3 linked regions of the Pelodiscus sinensis genome follow. The protein of the gene in region 3 purifies or fractionates together with the protein of the main gene of each other region. This does not show direct contact. Links are inferred from orthologs where the notes say so. Each region holds a gene or a part of one and is shown on either strand. Other genes may lie near its edges. The genes, in order: ZFYVE16, CUEDC1 and TOM1.

The links.
Region 1: the proteins of TOM1 (region 3) and ZFYVE16 purify together in Homo sapiens (affinity purification with western blotting; 3 studies listed by BioGRID and IntAct, with this or other methods). This does not show direct contact. The link is inferred for Pelodiscus sinensis from reciprocal best matches to the Homo sapiens genes TOM1 and ZFYVE16.
Region 2: the proteins of TOM1 (region 3) and CUEDC1 purify together in Homo sapiens (co-immunoprecipitation; 3 studies listed by BioGRID and IntAct, with this or other methods). This does not show direct contact. The link is inferred for Pelodiscus sinensis from reciprocal best matches to the Homo sapiens genes TOM1 and CUEDC1.

What each region holds. Positions count from the first base shown.
Region 1 is NC_134716.1:81,456,835-81,460,581, reverse strand, and holds the start of ZFYVE16 (zinc finger FYVE domain-containing protein 16), read left to right. Parts: upstream 1-1,592; 5' UTR 1,593-1,749; intron 1,750-3,747.
Region 2 is NC_134731.1:9,402,484-9,406,230, reverse strand, and holds the start of CUEDC1 (CUE domain-containing protein 1), read right to left. Parts: upstream 2,264-3,747; 5' UTR 1,915-2,263; intron 1,548-1,914; exon of another isoform or gene 1,426-1,547; intron 1-1,425.
Region 3 is NC_134711.1:94,115,358-94,119,104, forward strand, and holds the start of TOM1 (target of Myb1 membrane trafficking protein), read right to left. Parts: upstream 2,144-3,747; 5' UTR 1,987-2,143; coding exon 1,935-1,986; intron 1-1,934.

The sequences.
Region 1 (3,747 bases), on a different chromosome or scaffold from region 3:
CAAAAGCCAGCAGGAAGCTATTTAAAAAGCTGGCAGAGACCAAGGTTGCAATAGGACACAGGAGCGGATATAGGGCAGGGCGAACGGGGCGGCCGCCCAGGACCTCGCGCTTAAAAAAGCCCTGCGCATGCGCCGTGGCGCCACCGCGTATGCGCATGGCGTCACGGCGCATGCGCCGTGGCAAAGGGGGGACCCCGTGGAGTTACGCTGCCTGGGGCCCCGCAAAACAGTCATCTGCCCCTGATAGGACGGTACCTGTAAGAAATGTGAAGTTATTTTCACTGCTGATGGCCAATTTGAATCACCTAGGCTATGTCTACACTCGCGGCTTCTTGTGCGAGTAATATGCAAATGAGGTAAGCGTGGAATATCGCCAAGCCTCATTTGCATACCTAATGAGCCACCACTTTCAGAAGAAGCTCTTGCTCAAGAAGGAGTGTCTACACTACTCCTTGCGCAAAAAAAACATCTTGCGCAATGCCGTTATGCCTATTACTTTTCAGGAAACAGGCGTAATGGCATTGTGCAAGAGAGTTTTTCTTGTGCAAGAAGGGGCAGTGGAGACGCTCCTTGCGCAAGAGTCTCTTCTGAAAGTGGTGGCTCATTAGGTATGCAAATGAGGCTTGGCGATATTCCACGCTTAGCCTCATTTGCATATTACTCGCGCAAGAAGCCGCCAGTGTCGACATAGCCCTAGTGTCTCATTTTTCATATAGTAGAGCACAACTCCTATTGACTTCTCCTGTAGCTGTAAATAGAGAAGAACAGTGAGAATTCGGGGTTTTGGTTTCCACACCAGATTCAGTATACTAGTGTGCTCTAATGTTCACAGATTTTTTGCCTCTCTCTCAGCCAACCCTTCTCCCTGTTTTGTCCCCCCCCCCCTCCCCGCTCCTAAACTCTGGCTAAGGCTCTATTCTAGTCCCTTCATCCAGTCTTTCCTAATCTCCCCTCTTCTCCTCCCCGTTTCCTTGCCCAGGGGCAGGGACCCTTGAAAAAATAGTTATCATCATGCAATTACAGTCTGCATCACTAAACATTCACACATAGGGAACAAAATAAGGGCGTACAGACAATCCTAATTGCGGCAATTTCTAATGTGCTTTGAGTTTGAAACCCGTTCCGACTAGTCTTTTAACATAGACTTTGGTGCATAATTTATACTGAAACTGTTTACTCCGAGTTACAGGAACTGAGGGCTTCTCCTCCTACTAATCTTGCACTGACATTTTGACAGCTGCTGTAGCGAAGCCATGCCCAGTGCTGTGAGGGCCCTCGGAGATCAGTTTCCCTGTGTGTGCCACTAAGCCCATTAATGACATTTTAACTGACCGGGTGTGAGAACAGAGCGGTGACCCGTCTGGAGTCAGCTGCCCCGCAGCAGCAGTACATCTGGAACTGAGGGCTGATTTTGCTAAGGGAGCCCAGTCGCTCAGCTCTGCAGCGCCTCCTGTGCCCGGGCGTGGCTCTGTGGGCGCAGCAGGAGACTCTCGAGGAACTCGACTCACGGGAGCCAAAACTGTCCCCCCCCCCCCATAAAAGGGAAGAGGAGGATTCTGCGCAAGCGCAGAAATGACGTTCCAAGGAACGGTCGTAGCCTCCGCCTGGCCAAGGAGAGCCGGGCTCTGCGCATGCGCGGAGAAACCCGAGCGAGTCCCGTGAAAACGCAAACAAGCGGCGGTGGCTGTCGCTTTCTGCAGGGCCGCCGTCCTGGAGCCAGCGGGGGAGGGGCGCCTGCCTATCTATGCGGTGAGTGAGGCGGCGCAGGGCCCAGGCTCCTGGCGGGGGACCCGGGAGGGGGGGATCGGCCCTTTGTGTTGAGGGGCAGCGAAGAAGCTTCCCTGACCCGGGTCGCGCCGCGTCTTTGGGGCGGGGCCGGGCCTCTCCCCTCCCCTCCCCCCTATTATAGTGGGGAGACGGGAGTTCCGCCCGCCCTGAGGGGCCTGTGGGGCAGGCAGGGCGCGTCCCGGCGGGACGGGGGTGGTGGGGACCGGGTGGGGGAGAGTCAGGGGGCGAGACTCTTCGCAACTTGCTGTGCTTCGCTCGTTGGACTGGCCAACAGCCCCGGGAAAGCTGCCCCAGTGGGTGCGCGCCCCTGGCATTGTGTCCGTGTGTGTGTGGGGGGGTCTGTCTGTGCCGCCTCGCCTCCCTAGCTTGCCCCAGGCCTGGGCTCTCCCTTCCACCTTCGTGCAGGCTTTTGAATGTCCCCAGTGCAGGGAGACCCCTGACTGCTGCGGGATCACAGGATAATGTTTCCTGTTCTTTTTCTTTGTGGCCCCAGTTTCAGCTGGCTTCTCTTTCTTACAGCACTTAGGCTACAGTGGTTCCTAAACTTTTTGGCATCATGCCCCCTTTTTGAGAAATCCTGAGGCCTCCTCCCCCCAAGACAGCAGGAAAACTTAAGCCAAAAAAAAAGAAAAGAACTGACCAGGGCAGCGAAACTTGATGGGGTGGAAGGGCTGGGTTGCCTCGCACCCTCACTGAAATTTCTTTACACGTCCCCCCAAGGGGGCACGCCACCAGTTTGGGAACCCATGATAGACTATAAGCCTCTTTCAAAAAATCTGTGTGTAGTTTACACCCTCTCTTTCGAAAGTCTAGACGCTTTCTTTCGAAAAAGCACAGTTTGCATTCAATAGTGCCTTTTTCCTCATAGAATGAGGTTTACCACGATTGAAAAAACTGCCGCGTTCTTTCAATTTACTTTTGAAAGAATGCAGCTGCAGTCTAGACACAGGTGATTTTTTTTTCACGAAAACCCTGTAGTCTAGACCAGTGTTTCCCAATTTTATTTGGCCATGGAACCCCTTTCAGAATTTCAAGGAACCCCTAGGTTTGTTAAGAAAAAAAAAGGGGGGGGGCGATTCATAAAAATCACATTCCTTCCCCAAGACCCCGCACCCCTTCCTTGAGGCCTCATTCTCTCTGTTCCCCTCCTCTCCATCACTTGCTGTCCCCAGCCCTTATATACTCTCACTAGGTTGAGACAGGAAGTGCAGGCTCTGGGGTGGGAATGAGAGATTTGGGTGTGGGAAGGGGTGAGAATTCTAAGCTGTGGGAGGGAATTTGGATGCAGGAGAAGGGGATGTTGGCCTGGGGAGTGTTGGGCTCAGGTGGAAAGTTGGGGTGCTGAGCAAGCCATGGGCTTGTGGATGTGAGGGTGCAGGAGTTTGGGCTGGATATGTGAGGGGCTCAGGGCAGGAGGCTGTGAGTATGATGAGCTCAGGACACAGATTTGTGATGTGTGAATGGTGCAGGAGTGTTGTGGCAGAAGACTGAGGATGTGGGGGTGCAGGAATTTGGAGATGTAAGAGTCTCAGGACAGGGGGGTTCCAGTGTTATGATAGGCTCAGATTTGGGGTCAAGTGGTGCAGGAGTGTTACGGTACTGCAGTGAGATGGGGGTTTGGCCCCTGTTGGTCAGGCTTCATTTCTAAATAAAATATTGTGTTAATCTCAAAAGTTTTTAGCATTGTCTTTATTTACGAGAGGGGTGAGGAACCAGGAAAGTCAGTCCCGAAAGCCTCTAAGCCTTACTAATGTGGTCCCAACTGTGCTAGTGGGTGCTGGAGCTGGGGAGAGGGTGCTGCTGGGTGTCAGGATGCTGGCTCAGGTGGCGGGGTGCTGGGGTCAGGGACATGGTCCTGCTGGGCACTGAGGTGGCTGGCAGGGTGCTGGCATAAGGAACAGGGTGCTGCTGGGTTCTAGGGGGGATGGCAGGGTGCTGGGGCTGGGGCCAGGGCCAGGG
Region 2 (3,747 bases), on a different chromosome or scaffold from region 3:
ATTTACCTACTACAAGACTTTCACTGTATTTTTCCCTGAATACATCACATTTTTGTTGCTGAAATTTTGGTTTTTAATCCAGATATATAGGTCAACCATATGGTGACCTGATTGAATGAAAACAATTTCATTGAGATAGGACCATCCATGCAATTATGTTGCAGGATAATGGTTTCATATCACTTACTCAACACCATGGCAAAGACAGTATTTCATCAGAAGCTTTTGACAGCAATTTGACCATATATATTGTAAGGGTGGCACACATTTATCCTACAGCAATTACTTTATTTATAGCCTAACATATGGTTTCATGGTGTGTTACTTTGTCAGGACAAACAAATGTGCAACAGCAGTACAGTAACAAATGCAGCATTCTGATTGGCTTAAGGTGATTCAGGCAATTAGAAACTATTTGGGCCATAAGAGTACAACTGGAAAGCAAACAAAACATTGAATAAAACAACCAGTGGTCCTGTGACACCTTAGAAGAGACAAACAAACATATAGGGCTCGTCTACATTGGCCCCTTTTCCGGAAGGGGCATGTTAATTTCAGAGATCGTAATAGGGAAATCCGCGGGGGATTTAAATATCCCCCGCGGCATTTAAATAAAAATGTCCGCCGCTTTTTTCCGGCTTTTAGAAAAGCCGGAAAAGAGCATCTACACTGGCCCCGATCCTCCAGAAAAAGCGCCCTTTTCCGGAGGATCTTATTCCTCCTACTTTGAAGTAGGAATAAGATCCTCCGGAAAAGGGCGCTTTTTCCAGAGGATCGGGGCCAGTGTAGACGCTCTTTTCTGGCTTTTCTAAAAGCCGGAAAAAAGCGGCGGACATTTTTATTTAAATGCCGCGGGGGATATTTAAATCCCCCGCGGATTTCCCTATTACGATCTCTGAAATTAACATGCCCCTTCCGGAAAAGGGGCCAGTGTAGACGTAGCCATAGAGTATCATGAGCTTTCATGGGCAAAACCCACCTCTTCAGATGTGGAAAATATGAATAAGTCCATTTGCCACATGACTGAACGTCTGTATTTACTAAAAGGCAACTTTTAGCAACCATTAGCAACGCACTAGTCCAAGGTGATAGAAAACGCACAGGTTACTTGATCAGTTGATCTTAAATGGGCAGGAGTACGCCTCGAAGACATAGCAACAATGAACAACACGGCAACTTCTTCCCCTCCTTAAAACATGTCTCATTCCTCTGCTGTCACCAATGAAAACCAACAGCCCGAGTTCTAAAACTAGACTGCCTCCATAGCCAAAACACCAAAGCCAGGTTTTCGGACTGGACTGCCACTCATGCAACTTTTTTCTTTTCTTTTTTTTGGTGGTGGTCTGTGATAACTGTATCTATTTCCAACACAATGACACGGAGAAACGCCGCTTCAGAACAACCTGTAAATAAAGCCGGGCTAACCTTGAGTCAGGCTCCAGAGAAGGCGTGGAGAGGTTGGGGGGAGGGGGCAGCCGCCTGCTGGCAGACAGAAGGGCGAAGCTTCCCGGGGGGCGCCCCTGCAAGCGGGGGTCCCAGCGGGATCCAACGGGCGGGGGGGGGGGGACGCTCCCGCATGGAGCCAGCTAAGGGGGGGCGGTGCCAGAGACGGAGCCCATGATCCGCAGGAAGGGAAAGGTGCCCCCGCGCCTGAAGAAGTCCCCCCCACCCCAGCCGCGCCCCTCACCCTAACCTCCCCCCGCCCCCTTCCCATCCCGCCCTGGCCAGGCGGGGACAGCCTGGAAAATCACCCCCCCCCCCCTAAGAAAAGCCGCTCGCGGCGGCGGGCACAGCCCAGCCCGGAGAGGGCCTGTGCCCGGCCGGCTCCGCCTTGGCACTGCCCTGCGGAGCGGGCTGGCTCGGCGCACAAAGGCAGCCCCCCTCCCCGCGACGGGCAGCGCCTGCCTTCCTTACCCGCCTGCCGGCCGCCGCGGCTGCTCCCCGGGCTGTCGGGGCAGAGGCGGGCGCCGAGCCCGCCCGCAGCCGGAGGAGCGGGGAGCCGTTGGCGGGCGGGCGGGCGCGCGAGAGGAGCTGCCTGGCCGTTGGGCTCCCAGCTCCCCGCACGCCGCCAGCGCAGCTCGGAGGCCGGGGGCGGGGGGGGGGGGCGGTTGGGGAGAAGGAGCGAGTGGGGGAGGGCGGGCGCCTCGGAAACGGCCAGGGCTCGAGCGCCAGCGCGGGAGGGAAAGGCCAGCCCGGCGGCTTCCTAGCGGCCGGCTGCCTGAAGTGCAGAGGAGAGTCCCCTTGCCCTGCCCGCCGTGGGGCTGGGCCCTGGGATTTCCTGACTGGGGGGGGGGGTGCCTAGCCGGGGACGCGCCCATGGGGCAGGGAGCTACCGTCCCCCTGGCACAGAAGGGCAATGAAGGCGGCTGAGGTAAAACCACTTCTCCAGGGTCCAGCGATGGCCGAGGAGTGGGCTGTGGAAGTGGCCCGCCTTCCTCTCAGGGGGCCCCACATTGCCTAGGCTGCTGGGTTAGGGTGGCTTTGCTAATTGCGCTGGCGTTCCTGGCATTCGTGGGGTGCGCCCACTGCGCGTTCCTGGCACTCGTGGGGTATGCCCTCTGCGTGTACCTAACATTAGTGGGGCGCGCCCACTGCGCGTACCTGGCATTCGTGGGGCGCGCCCACTGCGCGTACCTGGCGTTCGTGAGGTGCGCCCACTGCGCGTACCTGGCGTTCATGGGGTGCGCCCACTGCGCGTACCTAGCTTTCGTGGGGTGCGCCCACTGCGCGTACCTGGCGTTCGTGGGGTGCGCCCACTGCGCGAACTTGGTGTTCGTGAGGTGCGCCCACTGCGCGTACCTGGTGTTCGTGAGGTGCGCCCACTGCGCGTACCTGGCGTTCATGGGGTGCGCCCACTGCGCGAACTTGGCGTTCGTGGGGTGCGCCCACTGCGCGAACTTGGCGTTCGTGGGGTGCGCCCACTGCGCGAACTTGGCGTTCGTGAGGTGCGCCCACTGCGCGTACCTGGCGTTCATGGGGTGCGCCCACTGCGCGTACCTAGCTTTCGTGGGGTGCGCCCACTGCGCGTACCTGGCGTTCGTGGGGCGCGCCCACTGAACCGGAGCAGCGCTTTGGCTGGGTGCCGAAGGAGCGCCCAGCTCTCGCCGTCAGTGCGGCGTGCTCATCATGTGTCCTTGCTTTACTTTGTGTGTCATCTTTTAGTGCAATCCATTGGGGGGAAAAATGACACGGCCAGAAACCAGCAGAATCAGGCAACCCTGCGTGCGAGCAGGGGCAAACAAAATGGCTTGCGGTCTGTACACAGAACCCTGATGGGCTGCAAGTGACCCTCGGGCTGCAGATTGCCCATCACTGGTCTTGATGAACATTCAGGTGGGCCTACCTCCCGGGACCTGTTGCTAAGCAGTAGGTGCTATATTGTACTTGACAGCAATGTTCCCTCTAATCTTTTCCAGCCATGTGCAGAATACATTTTTATGTGCACTGAGGCATGTGCAAATGTGCATCACCTGTAGAAACAAAAAACCTAGCTGTGAGTGCTCTTCTAATCAGCTGAGCAGAATTGGAGTCTCTCCTGGCCGGCTACACAAGTGCACAGCTTACCAGGAACAGTGGTTGAGAGCAAATATTTGTATGGCATGATATTGTGTTGTGGTTACTTATGGAAAACACAATGAACCAAAAACATGGCCCTGAAATTAACCACTGAAGGAGGGATTCAGAGATTTAGGACTGCACAGCCTTCCTCCTTGCAAAGTGTGAGGGGTTCACTCCAGTGGTGAGGCC
Region 3 (3,747 bases):
CAGACTTACTCCCCCGCCCAGAGATACAAGGTTTCCCTGAAAAAGTAAAAAATATTACACCATACAAGCAGATAAAGTCTTTATAAAAATCATTCTACATTAAAACTTTGTTAAATACTTTTAAAAACGTATTTTTCCCTTCCAGCTTTGTTTCTCCAGTCCTTCTTTGTACTTTCTCTCAATTTTCCAATTTCTTGTTGTTTTAGTTTATTGTATATTAGTTTCCTCCCTTTCTTTAGTTAAACTCAACCAAAAGACTAAGAAGAATGCTGTTCTTTCTAGATTTGCAAGGTCTTATACTGGATCAGATCCTATTTATCTGGAAGTTCTTAGATGCATTTATGCCTTTGATATCTTGCCTTCCTAAAAACTTGATAGGGCAGGGAATAATTCATCTATTCATAAAGCACTGGGGTAAAACCATGGTGCTATAGAAAAGGCCCCAATCTTTCAAAAACTCTGGCTAATAATTAATTCAATTAGTGGAAATCAATATATTGCTGAAACATAACGGCTGTGTCTAGACTGGAAAGATTTTCCACAAAAGCAGCTGCTTTTGCGGAAAAACTTGCCAGCTGTCTACACTGGCCGCTTGAATTTCCACAAGAACACTGATGATCTCATGTAAGATTGTCAGTGTTCTTGCGGAAATGCTATGCTGCTCCCGTTCAGGCAAAAGCCCTCTTGCGCAAATGGCGATTGGGGCTTTCTTGCAAAAAAGTGCTTTTGCGGAAAAGCATCCGTGCCAATCTAGACGCTCTTTTCCGCAAATGCTTTTAACAGAAAAACTTTTCTGTTAAAAGCATTTGCGGAAAATCATTCCAGTCTAGACGTAGCCAACATGTTTACACTGAATAAGCCCATTCTTCAGATGAGGAAGATGCCCTAATTAAAAGAGTTCAGTTAAACAGATTAGAAAATGCAAACAAAACCTCCCTGTTAAAAATTCCAGATTTTTGCCAAAGCTTTCCATGGATTTCTAACAATGCTGATCACGGGTCTTGGGGCCGGGGAGAGAGGGAGGGAGAAGACTAACTCCACAAGGAGATGGAGGGTGCAAGGAGCTCAGTAAGAATTAGCCTGAACAGTGAGGCCAGGTACATGTGGTTATTAGTGTCATAAACTTAGCGAAGCATGTACAACCCTTGCCCTGAAGAGCTAACTGTGAAGCCAGAATAAGTACGTGTTCTTCCCCTCCAAACTAGCAGGGACACCACCCAGGTCATTGCACTGATGGGGATGGGTGGCTCCAAGGGCAGGGAGCAGATTACAGTTCCCCTGGTACCTGCTCTCCTCCCTACAACTGACACCCACAGGCTGTTCCCCAAGAACCCTTCTGCTGCTGCTACAGCCACCTCTACTTGACGTGGGAGCACAGGCAACACTCAGTTAGTTGCCTGTAGTCCCTGCTAGGGTGCCCATTGTAGTTGGACATATTCCTGGAGGTTCCATCACATGACAAGTAACATCTGTGACTGCACAGTACTAGGCTTCAGCTGCTGCAGACTCTCGGGCGCTCCGGGGGAGCTGGCAACCCTAGTCCGGGTTGTTATTGTAGGGTCGCCAGGGTCAGGGGGAGGCCTCGCGGTGCTGTGACGCGGCACATCCATCCGCAGCCCCCGCCGCCTCGCACAGGGCTCGGCTCTGGCCACCGGGCCCCTTTAAATAAGAAAACTTCCGAGACCCCCGTGCACGGGGATTGGCTGGCCCCATGGCCCCCCCGTGGCCCGCCTTCCCGCCTGCCCCCATTAGCCGCCGGCGCTCGTCAGTCAAATCAGTCTCGCCTCTCTATTGGCCGGAACTGTGTCAATCCTGCGAGGAGGCTGTGGGACCCGCCCAGCCGCGCGCGCCTACCCAGCTGCTGTCGCTGCTGCTCCCCAGAGGAGGGGGCTGACTTGGCGGGGGGAGGGGGCGAAGGGGGCAGAGGGACTCACCGATGCGCTGCCCCACAGGGGAGCTGAAGGGGTTGCCCAGGAGAAAGTCCATCGCCGCCGCCGCACGGCCCGGTATCAGCTGACACGGGCGCCCGTCACGTGACCCCCCCTCGGGCTCGGGACGGGGTGTGCCTGGCCGCCCCGCCTACGCGTGACGAAAGCAGGCGGCGTTCTGTCCTTCCAGGGCGTGCCCGGCGGAGAGCGCCGGTCTGCGGGAGGCGCGGAGGGAGGGGCGGGCCCGTAGCACAAGCGGACACTGTGACGTCACAAAGCTAGGCTCGTGACCTCACACTATGTCGTCACTGCAGAGGCAAATATGCTACAGGCTTACCAGGGGACTGTGAAATAAGCTCTTTACTCCTCGTCCCCTACCTACCCCCCCCCCCCCATCGACCTGGCCGCTCCTACCTGAGTTTTATCTGCTCCTACACGTGACCCTCCATCCCCCCCTTTTCCCTCACCCACAAAGACCTCATGGCCCTGTTCTCCCCCACCTCAAGGAGTAGATTAGGCATCATCTGACCCCACCTCCATGCTACATGTGGATTAGAGCACAGCAGAACTCTCCTACACAAGGGATATTCTTCCTCTCACCTGTTTTAGACTAGTAATAGAGATGTAGCCCTGCTAGTCTGCTGCAGGTGAAACAAAAAACAGGACTATGTAGCACTTTAAAGACTAACAAGATGGTTTATTAGGTGATGAGCTTTTGTGGGCCAGTCCCACTTCCTCAGATTTGATCTAATAAAGCATCTTGTTAGTCTATAAAGTGCTACGTAGTCCTGTTTTAGACTGTGGGTCTAAAGGCTTTCATTTTCCTGGTGAAGGCATAATATGGGGCAATAATGAACCCGGGGTCACCTCATCACATTACAATGCCCCCAAATAATTCAAGATCCAGTAAAAGACAAATAATTAGGTTTATTCAGTATAGAAAAGGGAAGACAAAGCGGGGACATGATAGCCGTTTTCAAGTATCTAAAAGGGTATTACAAGAAGGGAGAAAAATTATTCTCCTTAACCTTTGATTATAGGACAAGAAACTTAAATTGCAGCAAGGTTTAGGATGGACATTAGGAAAAACTTCCTGTCAGGATGAATAAGCACTTCCCCCAGTGCTGGTGCTGCCTCTGTGGGAGGCAGCTCTGAGGGAACCAGCACCAGTTCCCACCTCTCCTCACATTACCTCTGATACAGAGCAGCAAACTGGGGTTGTGCATGTAGTCATTTGGAGTAACCGGTAAATGCAGGCTTATCAGTTAATCATGTAAAAAAATGATAAACTAACATCTTATGTGACAGTAGGAGGAAAGGACAACCACCTGCAGCATGTATGTTTCTGCCTATATATGTTAAATAGCTCTCAAAGTAGAACATAAGGCAGTGGTTTTCGTGGAATCGTGAAATGTGTTTTGGTAGGTGGTTAAGTATTTTAAAATTTCTCTCTTGTCAACTTGTGTTGAAATATAAGGAGGGTTAGTGAAGTGTCATATTCTGCAATATCAAGGGTTGACAGGTTGACAAACTATCACAAGTTTTGAGGCTGAAACTGACCCATGAGTTTCTCAACTGAAAACAGAATTTTTAAAGACTATGACAATATGTACTATTCCTGTTTTTTCTGTAACAGGCAGTTTTACCATACTGATCCTGAACCACCAGTACTATTTTGCTTGCAACACAAATCCAGTTGCAGGGAGGATCCCAGGGGCAGAAATATGGCTCAACATTGGGACATTTGCAATGCTAGATGACAGCTCTCAGGCATGTCTCTCACTGATGCTGCTAAGAAATATGGAATAGGCCTCTAAAT